Linked DNA regions of Oryzias latipes. The protein of the gene in region 1 binds, or shares a complex with, the protein of each later gene. Links are inferred from orthologs where the notes say so. Each region holds a gene or a part of one and is shown on either strand. Other genes may lie near its edges.

Region 1 (5,375 bases):
TGTTTGGATGAACAAAGAGCTGATTTCCTGGAGATGGGAAATGCTTTTAGATCAGTTAATGAGGGCAATTTCCCACGGCACACTTGACCATCTCCCACGGCACACTAGTGTGCCACGGCACACTGGTTGAAAAACACTGACTTAGATGATGAGACAGAGCCTGAGTAAATTCAACAAACTAAACTTATAACTTTATAAATGTTGGCTGCTGTGACCTCAAAGACATCACCAAAAAACTGCTAAGCAGCTCACAGATCAGCTTAGCTGTTCCCGTCACACATGCGCTCGCCTTCCTCGCTCCCATCAGCCCACCCTTCATCTCAGCTGACAGGTGGGCCAATCTCACGTTTTCATTTCACAGCGTTTTTTTCCTACAATGCGCATGAATTTAAATCACCCGTTCATGATGGCTGATGCAGAAAAGTGTCAGCATTTTTAGAGGTGGGCGGGGTCACAGCAGCAGTGCTTCGTGATTGGACCATTTCCTCATGATCCCATAGGGGGAAAAGCTCATTGTGAGAGGAGATTGTCACAAATCCCAAGGATGCAAACAGAGGACAGATCAAGTACTAAGTGTTGTCACAGTGTCACTGCCTTTCCCTCTGCGCGCCCCCGCCTGCCCACCCCTGCTCTAAAACAACAAATTTGAATGACTTGATAAAAATCAACTTATTGCCAAGCACTATGTCATAACATCTAGAGTTTTTGTCTGGAAAAGACCTACCTTCCAGATGACGATGATGGTTAGATCCAGCTCATTGCATTTCTTAGCAATGGCTGCAGGATCAGAGGTACAGTTGTCAGGCGTAGAGACAGTTTTGTTTTTGGACCCCATCCTGGATGTCTTCTCTCCTTGCTGAAGCTCAAGGCCTCGACAGCAGCGAAAGAAGAAATCTCTGCAGGGGGTGGAGGAGCTGATGATCTGCATGGAGACAGAGAGGACGGCTAAGACTCCAGCACATGAATCATCTCCTGACCGACTGTAAGCACCATGTGAGCCTCCATTGTGTGCAGTCACTGTCCTGGGGGAGGACCCTGACCTTTGACACCAGCAGAAATGTTTAATTTGTTTCTTTGAGAAACAAGGCAGTCCTGGAAACAACACTACACAAGTCCAAATAAACTGCACACAAGACATAATGCGTGCATGCATGTTTGCGTGCATGCACGCATTTGCATGTGCATTTGGGAAATTCGACTTTAGACTTCAGACATCATAAGCATTGCAAACATGCTCCTCACCATTCAATAGTCAATCTATTAAAAATTAAGGCAAAATGCATCTTTAGCCACAGGGTTGTAGAGGAAGCTGGTGTTACTCTTTACTGATGAATGACTTCCATAAAGCAAAGGTTGTTCTGCAGCAGGTGTGTGCTGGGATTATTCTAAAGTAAAACATGTACCTGTTCATTTCCAAGATTCAGATCTGCAAAGATGTATTTCTCCACAGAGTCCATGGAAGCTGGAAAAACCAGAAGATACTTGTGAGCCTGAAGGCTACCGTACAGCCAGGAGTACACCCTGACGGGTAACAGTGCCTACCTGGGAGGGGGGCACATGGCGTGGCTCTGAAGCAAAGCTTGGCCTTCTCTCTGCTGCTCAGCTTACAGTCTATGGGAGATGAAGAACACATGCTGAGACTGGGAGCCCTGCACTAGGGGATGTAGTGGAGCCATGACAATAAGACTTCCTTTCTACCGGTCCCCACAAATCCACGGATGCAGAAATTAAGATAGAGGTTTGGTGTGAAGCTCAAACTGCTTCGTCTAAAGCTTGACAGGAGGAGCTTCACATGCTGTGGTGTTAGTCTGGTATCCATTACCATACAGAGGAGAGTCAAAAATGATGTGCTGCTAAGTACAATGACATCACACCCCAGTGCTCTCCAGCAGTGATAGTGCACTCACTTAAGACACATGTGCTTGAGCTCTGGATCTCAGGAAGAATGTGGAAAAGGCAGACACCAGATTGGATCCCCATGTATGATTTTCAGTAATGGTGGCTCCATGTAGAGTTAGAAGTGAATCTTCCACATATTTATCAAATACCAACCCCTCTGTGACAAAGGTCAAACGTAGCAGGGTTCAACATTAACCAAAACCTAAGCCGTTCTGAGCATCTATTCATGAAATGAACTGAATCTTCATCATTGCAAAGCCCATTTGCAAAGCGAAGGTTTAGCTAACTTACATTTGCTTCACCTTCAAGTATCTAGATACAAAGCATCGTGGCTCTAAATTAAGATGACACTTTCAATTATTATTAGTGTTTGTTTTTGTAAGAGAATAATCATCAACTGAAACTTTATAAATGAAGGGAAGAACAGTTCTGCTTTCAAATACATCCATTATTTTTACAGAGAAATGTTTGGCTACTAGAAGTCTAATTTGACTAGTAACAAAAGAAGTTAATTTGGAGCCCTGCTTACAATTATAACCAAATCACAACATCTTGGTGCAGGTCGTTCTGGTGACTTTCAGGTGAAAGTGGTATTCTGGAACATTAGAAAGCTGAAATAGTCGTAATGGTCGCTCGCTCTGCAGCTCTCAGGTGTGCTAGCACTCCCCAAAGTTTATAGACTTGCTGGCATAAGGTGTGTGCAGACGCACCATTGTCCTTGTCAGGGTTGATGTACTTGTGAAGGCGCCAGCGCTGACTGCTGCTGGACACCTGGACAATGTGAAACTCCCGCATGCCTCCTTCACTCTGTGAGGAGGCAGAAGAGACAGCACCACAGTATTATTATCGGCAGTATGATCTGATAGCAGTTGCACTCAGATGGATTGGTGGTGGATTGGTGAAACTGAAGGCTCTTAAGGATTTACTGATTGCTTAACTTTCAGCACCCCATTGCTCCCTGGCTGCTCTGCACCATCTTTGGGCCACAGCTATACAGCATTTTCTGTTGTACCAGAGGATCAAGCCCAAAATGTAAGTGGTATTTACATGGTACTTATTGTGTAACTATTGGGTACTTTCAGGGTATTTATATGGGACTTTTTATGGAATTTACTGGGTACCTACATGGTATTTTTTGTGTCTTCTTGGTACTTACATGGTACTTGCAGTGTATTTAAGTGGTACTATTTGGTACATACTTATGTGTTACATACTGGGTATTTATAATATACTTACTGGGTATTTACATGTTGTGCAAAGGTGTCTTTTGTGGTACTTCATATTTTTCATATATTTTGTACTTCATAAAAGTCGTCATCCTTTTTATGTTCATTTGAGCTTGTATTGTGATTTTTCTTGTAGTTACAAACCCTGAAGAAGTCCTGCACTGTTACCAAACTCTGCTGAAGGAATTTCGACAGACAATAAGCACGACCCTCACATTACACCTTACATGTTGCCAGTGTAATATAGACAAAAATACAATAGATATGACAGCAACTATTGCAGAAATGACTTTGAATTTTTGTGAATTTGATGTTCTCATTCACAGCTTATTATGCCTTATGAAAGCCTCCATTTCTTGGAAATTTATCTCTACTCAGTCATCCCATGAGTTGGTTTGTGTGTAATAGCGAAATTGTGTTTTCTTTTTGACATTTCTAGAGTTTCCATAACGTTTGGAGCATATGTGTAATGAAAACGGAGCTAATGACCTGCGTTGAAGAGGTGGAGGCGTGGAAAGAGGTAAGCACTCACAACACGCTCACGATGACTGAGCTATGACTCAAAACAACTCGGACCAATCACTGACAACTGGTTTCAACATTGCGGCGTCCGTATCAGGAAGTATTGGTGAGAGATTTAGCCTCATTTCACAAGAGCTGGAGGTAAGGCAATTTCTATGGGTGACGTCACCCTTCGATTCATCCATTGTTTCTACAGTCTATGCTAGGCCTGGTAGTTAATAACAGGGAAAAAAACAATCAGTGCAGTCTGGGGGGTATTCCAGAGAGCAGGTTATGCTAGCTCCCACGATAAGTTTGAGGCTAAGGAAGTTGATAACCTCAGCTTTCGGTTCCAGAAATGGAGGTATGTTTCAGGGTATGTCAAGTTGCCATAGCAACTCATGCTCTGAACATAACCTGGTCCGGAGCAGGTTTAGTTGAAGGTTAGTTTGTTTACAGAGAGGTGAAGCAGCATGGCGTGTCCATTTGAAGATGATTTAGTGGATGAAGAAGCTCAGATAATACTTTTTCCACCATGAGAGGGTGATAAGACCACATATGGATGTTGGAAAGATAAACTTTTTTACTTTGATCTAACTTAATTATTTGCTTCAGTTAAGATAAATCATTTTTTGTTAGGTCACCTTAAAAATAACACGTAGTTTTCAGACAATTATTTTCCTTTCGTTCAAATTAATTCAATTAAGTAGGTGTAACTTTGATGCTGCTGTTAGATCGGCACCGCAAGGGATTCTGGGATATCATTCCCTTTGCCTGTCTGGACGGATTTGGGTTTAAGTGTGGCTTTTTTACAAAATGTGTTTAGTTGTTTAGCTGTTTTACTGTGTTTCACCGTGTTTTGCCGAGCTATTTTGTCCTACTATGCTTACGTCTCTGCACCATGAGTGAGAGTAAAGGATAGGATGATGAGTTTATATAGCACCCCTACCAACTACAATGATTATTACAGTGAAGGAAAATTCTTTAATGAATTTTTGCACTCCGTGCATTTTTTCCCGTTCTTTTTATTTTTATAAAAATGAGCATATCTGCCGGCTCAAACTTAAAAATATGTGAGTTCAAGAAATATAAGTAATTAAGATGGAAAAAAGATTAATGGAGTAATGTGACATTTAGTTAGATAAATACATAAATTTGAGTTGTATAAACAATTATTGAGTTTGAATAAATTTAACTTAATTATTTAAATTATTTTTCAGCCGTGTCACTTTTTTGATGGACTTATAATCTTTATCCGCCGTCATTAAAAGCTCACACTCCGTCTCACTGAAGTATAGCGCTTTCTTTTTTTCTCTCCACGCGTTTCCATGGCGACTCCAGAAATCGGCGATCTATTGAGAATGTCTTTATGTACCGTGCGTTAACCCAGGGTTACCAAGTCGAGCGTAATTACGCCAACTCATATCCGGTCTTTTGGAACCGACATACCCAGAGTAAGCAAGTTCAGGCGGACTTCAGCCAGAGTTCAGGCTTAAAGTCAGGCTAGTTTAAACATGCTTCCTGGAATACCCCCCTGTAAAGTTAAACTAATTTAATATGTACTAAGAAAAGGATTGTATACAATGATTAGTAATAAAAGTATTTGTCTTAAGATATTTAAAGATTGTATAACTTAATCCATTTTATAATTCTCTATCTATTTGGTCAGCCTTTGTTCTTGTTTTTCCCACCAAATTTGAATAAAGAAACAAAACACTGCCTGGCAGCCAAACAAAGGTCACTCACCGT
Region 2 (5,375 bases), on another chromosome or scaffold:
GTGGTTTTTGAACTGGAGCGTAGTAAGCGAGTGAAGGTTTGTACTTCCCAGCAAAAGATTTGACTTTATGGATCATTCTGCATGAGAAAATGCTCGCTCGTACTCTGATGTCCTTGTCTCCAGGGCCGCTGGCCGTAGAAGTCCAGCCCTCCGCTCTGGGTGTCCAGTGGGTCGGGAGAAGGATAACTTGCTCCAGCCTTTAAGGATCAAGCAGTTTAACTAATGGAGATATGATCTTAAAATGAATTTCACATGTGAAAAGTGTTGCGACATCTCCGTACAAAATCTACATTCTAAGGCTGAATTTATGATGCGTTTGCAGCTCATTTATAATATGATCGTGACACAGGAAGTGCTTGTTTTTGTGGGTAAACGCGTCACCTGACAGAGCTGGTGAGCCAGCTGCTTCCTGTCCTGAGTGTAACAGGCAGCCTGCTGGTAGTAGAAACCAGGGTTCTGGGTCTGGATGGCTGTCAGACCCAGCTTTATGGCCTCGTCGAACAGCTCACCAAACGACTGGAACCTGGTGGGAAATAAAGTGCAGGAGTCGGTCAAGATCTCAGAAATCCTTAGAAGAGAGTAGATGTAAAGGAAAACACTGAACAAAAACGCTCAGAAAACGATCTTGAAGCCAAAATTCTGATTTTTTTTAAAATTGCTAATACTGTTTGACAGTAAAACTCCACGACAGAGCATAAGAAAAACTCATCGAATTTCAATTTTTGAATGTTTTCTTGTGTTTTTACTCAATTTTTTCTATGTGCAAGTGTTGCTCAATGCTAGCATCTGGCTGCTATTGAATTAAAGATGCCATCCATCCGTCTGGTTCAACAGTAATCTGATGCTTTCTCCAAAATGATGCATCCAATTAACAAGTGAAACTAAATCTTGCACACTAATATTTAATGATTCCCGCCGCTAAAAAATTGCACAACCGTTTTACTTTGATCACTTCAAAATAACCCTTTAACACGGTTAACACACAGTCTATTGGAACTCTTCGACCGTTTATGCGATGAAGGTGAATCGGCTGATTCTGACGCTGAAGAATAAAGTGGCTTTTCATGTCAGCTTTGCACTGATCTGCAACACATTACTAACACAGTGGTGGTGTTAAGTGTTGAACATCGGTGCTCTCCTCTGCTTCAGAATGGCGTTCATTGCATGAACGGTTGAAGAGTTGCGGTGGTTGAAAGAACACTGTGGAGTTAAAGCGCAGACTTTCCCCACTGTGTAGCCAGTGTTTTCTTCTTACTGTTTGGACATCCAGGCAGAGTGCTCGAAGGCCAGCTCGGCACAGCCGATCTTCTTCTTGCACTGGTCCATGTGTTTCCTGAACTGAGCTATAGCATCCAGAGGAGTGTTGTGCTGGAAACACAGGCGGCAGATCTGCAACACAAACACAGAGGGGGAAAGGAAATGGGGTCAGACTGGTGAAGCCTTCATCACTGACTGTATATGGGAACTGGACTGAGTGACCCCCTGGGCCCAGGCGTTCTCTAAACAGGAAGTACCCGCTGGCTCCATGAAGCCAAAATCTTGTGACAGCTATTTCTCCGTCATTCTATTGGTCAGAATAACAATTCTTGCTCTGATCATTTTTTTTTACATTATCCTTGATAATCACCATTTTTTTTTATTTGATTTTTTTTTCTGTAGCTCAAATTTTTCAAATCATAAACAGGCCAATCAGTAGGCGGAGCCTGCTGATCCCTTCGGCCAGTATTCGAAGAGTTAGAATGATTTGGTGTTGCCCACTTTCAAGTGGAAGGGGTGTTGACTTCCAACAATCTCACTCCTGATTGGAGATGGTGGTCGCCATAGAAACTAACCCCTAACCCTAACCCTTAACCCCTAACCCTAAAGATACACTTATCCCATAGGGCTAAAGTTGCCCTTTTTCTTTTAAACCAATGCCAACCCCGCAGACGATTTACCTTATAGTTGATGAATCCAGCCATGGTTTTGATCTCCAGCATGTTGGTCTCATGCGCCCTGAGCTCATGAACCAGACTGTACGCCGTTCTGTAGTATCTGCAGCCACAACAGTTACAGAAGTCAATCACAAAGTGGCAAAGACTTGGTGAGGATGAACATTAACTCCCAGCTATGTTATGCTGTGAATTTTATTTTTGAGATTTGACTGTTTTGGGGTTTTTATGAGAACCTGAAATGAAAACGCCTTCCTTGTGTCTTCTCAGTGCTGCTTTTCCAGTCTTGAACCGTCTTTTTAAATGAGCAACTTTGGCTTCAGAACAAATATATATATATATTTTTTTTTATTACTGCCATATGACACCACGTTAAACTAAAAATTAAAACAGTTGGAATAACCTCAAAAACAGCATCAGAGGTCTGGTTTCACTTTGGTTTAAAGTTCCACTCCGATCATCTTCTGATCTATTTTCAAAGCGTTTCCAGTGGTCTTTTAATTAGGATTATGCTATTTTTAGCCAAGAACTGTTGATTTCTAGAATATATTTTCAGCATAGCGGCAGGAGTTCATTAGAAATTCGCCACCGAGTTGTGGGCGGGACCACTGGCTCGGAGCCATCCCGCCCCCCATCCACTCCCCGTTCCTGAGCTTGTGGCCCGCCTGGCATATTTTCTACGCAACAAACCAAACTTCCAAACTGCATTTTTTTGGTCTGTTCCTGATTCGCTAAAATTTCATTTGGAAAAAAAAAAAGAAGAAGCTATTTTAAGATGAATTTTCCTTCTAAATGTCCTCCATCATGAGAAAAATGCCACAAGAACCTGTTAAAAACATCAAAAACAGCATTTTCATTTGTTGTGGGTCAATTAGTTTAAATAAACCGGAGCCTGTAAATGAAACAAAATGAACCGTCAGTGAAACTAACGTAATTTAGAAAAGCATTAATAAGGAGATTATGAGGATTGTGGTTTAGTGGTAGAGTGTCCGCCCCGGGACTGGTAGGTTTTGGGTTCTAATCCCAAAACCTCTCTGGTTAAAGAGCTGGATTAGACAGAAGAAATTTCACTGACAGCTAGACAGACTTCTGTGACCTATGATCCAGAATCCAGATCAGATGTGGATGTTACTACATATGTGAAGGAGTTAAGCCGTAGAAAGATTCTTTATATGACACAAACAGCAGCGAATAAACAGCTGTGTGAATGGACGGATTCAGTGGCTGCATGTCGTGACTGAAAGCGTGTGACAGTTGTTGTTCTCCACGTCCACACAGATCCCTCGGCTCACACTCACTTCAGAGCATTCTGGGTGTCCTGCTTGAGCTCGCTGAAGAAGGCGATTTTAAACTGGTGCCTGACAAACAGGAGCTGGAACAGACAAAGCGGTTGGTTTCGGTAGAAGTTCAGGTGAAATTATTTTTCGGTCAACAGTTCACACCTGGTGCGTTGTTTTGTTGAGGAACTCCTTGTGTGACTTTACCCGACGGATCTCTGTGTAGTAGTACGTCTGAGCGTGCTCATAGAAGGCATTTTCCAACCTTCATCATCAAAAGGCAGCGTCAGGTCATGTTTCTGCATTTATCTATCAAACCAAGACCCTTTCGGTTGGGACAGGTACCTGATAATGTAGCCCACTAAATGGTCGGTGTGCGGCAGAACGAAGAGGCTCTTGCCGGACAAATCACAGGCGGTGCACAGAGCTTGTGCTCTCTCTGATGCTACCAGGTCCTCACCTGCACAAAACAAATCAGGATAAACATTTGGCTTCACCTTAAAAGCCATAGAAAACACTGTGAAATGATATCCAGGCCTTACCTGGAGGTAAAGGAGTTTTCTTTTGGATTAAAACCACGGCCACCTTGGCGTTCCGGCCCTGCAGACTGGTCCTACAGGCAAACAAAAGCCATCAACTCCACGTTTAACTTCAATTGTTTGGTTGGTGATGTTCTTGGCTGCACACTGCTAAGCAGTGAGTGCAACAACAGTTCACTAATGCACCATTTAAACCAAATTGTAAAGGTCATATGTCACAAAAATGACAGCCGCTGTTTCCCTCTGGGATCTGAGCATCCCTCCACACCCCAACCCTATGAAAGTCTGCTGCATTGAAGTCTTCACTGGGGTTTTACAGTTAAAGCCGAATTATTTTACAATGATTCATGCCAATGTTTAGCTATTAGCGCAGACATTTCATTGTGTATTGCTACAACTAATAATACAAAAGTTTAAAACAAAAAGAGTAAATTAGACAGATTAAAAACCAATGCAACTAAGTCAGAATACTGGTTTGTCGTCACATCTACTTGAGTGAAAGTACTCTAATGAGGACAATTTTTATTAAACTACAGTGTTGCCTTACTCTACCGTGGTTCACCGTTTTTGCTATTATTTAGTGCAATTTTGCATGGTTTTAGTTTTATATTTTATTTACAGTGCAGTGGGTTCTGCATCCTGATTGGCTGTAGACCGAAGGTGTCCAAACATTTTGCAAAGAGGGTCAAATTTAGTGTGTGAGGGCCGATCGACCATTCAGCCCGTTTTGTGTGAGCTCGTATAACATGAAATCTAAATGAACTATTTAGGGGTTTTTTTTAACAAAGGGATACTTTTCATTTCTTCCCATAGAGCAGAATAGATCTGAATTCATTTTTACCAAAAATGCAGTTTTTAATTTGTGAGCCAGAAGTAAAATAAAGAAAAAAGTCTGTCTGGAAAACAAAAAGTCAATGTAAAATCTGGGCTCATGTGATAAGTTACACATTATCGACTGAAGCTCACGGTCAACTTTTACATTTAAAGCATGTGGACAAGTGAGTAACACAAAAAAGTGATCCCATTTTGACCGCAGAAAAAAACAAATCTGTTTTTCTTGTTTGGCCCTTAAGATCTAGCAACCACAGGTTGTTGCCACATGTTTACAACGACTTATTACATACTGTATTTTCCGGACTATAAGTCGCTCCGGAGTACAAGTCACACCCCTTGCCAAACTATGAAAAAAAGGGCGACTTATAGTCCGGAAAATACTGTAATTTGGCCAAACACATCCAAGAACTGCAAATCTTACAAAGTCCTGGGGGCCAGATATGATTGATTCTATGGTAGGAGCCTGCGGGCCGGTAGAAACTTGAATGCGGGCTGCGTTTGGCCCACGGGCCAGACTTTGTACATACGTTTTAGACCACTGTCAATCAACCTCCTCCACGCCATGTCTCCTGTACAGAATGCATGCAGCTCTTCAAATTTTACAATCCTGGACTTATTTTTCTATGAAGGTTTGACCTCTGAGAGTTTAAAGAAGAGAGAAAAGTGTGAAAATGTTCAAGTCTGTGGATAAAGCGTGTAGTGAGTAAAGCTAAAAGTATTTTGGTTGTGCGTTGGTCTGAGGGGGAAATGGTTTTTGCACTCCTGTCGTTTTTGCGTTGGACTGGCGTCTTGGA

What was found.
Region 2: trappc8 (region 1) and trappc11 share a complex: the UniProt entries of both Homo sapiens proteins name them as parts of the multisubunit TRAPP (transport protein particle) complex. The link is inferred for Oryzias latipes from reciprocal best matches to the Homo sapiens genes TRAPPC8 and TRAPPC11.

What each region holds. Positions count from the first base shown.
Region 1 is NC_019862.2:1,548,125-1,553,499, reverse strand, and holds part of trappc8 (trafficking protein particle complex subunit 8), read right to left. Parts: coding exon 5,373-5,375; intron 2,707-5,372; coding exon 2,610-2,706; intron 1,612-2,609; coding exon 1,543-1,611; intron 1,463-1,542; coding exon 1,404-1,462; intron 923-1,403; coding exon 725-922; intron 1-724. UniProt on the Homo sapiens protein: Plays a role in endoplasmic reticulum to Golgi apparatus trafficking at a very early stage. Maintains together with TBC1D14 the cycling pool of ATG9 required for initiation of autophagy. Involved in collagen secretion.
Region 2 is NC_019868.2:27,372,458-27,377,832, reverse strand, and holds part of trappc11 (trafficking protein particle complex subunit 11), read right to left. Parts: intron 3,822-5,375; coding exon 3,751-3,821; intron 3,669-3,750; coding exon 3,554-3,668; intron 3,474-3,553; coding exon 3,374-3,473; intron 3,304-3,373; coding exon 3,230-3,303; intron 2,035-3,229; coding exon 1,938-2,034; intron 1,390-1,937; coding exon 1,256-1,389; intron 524-1,255; coding exon 382-523; intron 198-381; coding exon 104-197; intron 1-103. UniProt on the Homo sapiens protein: Involved in endoplasmic reticulum to Golgi apparatus trafficking at a very early stage.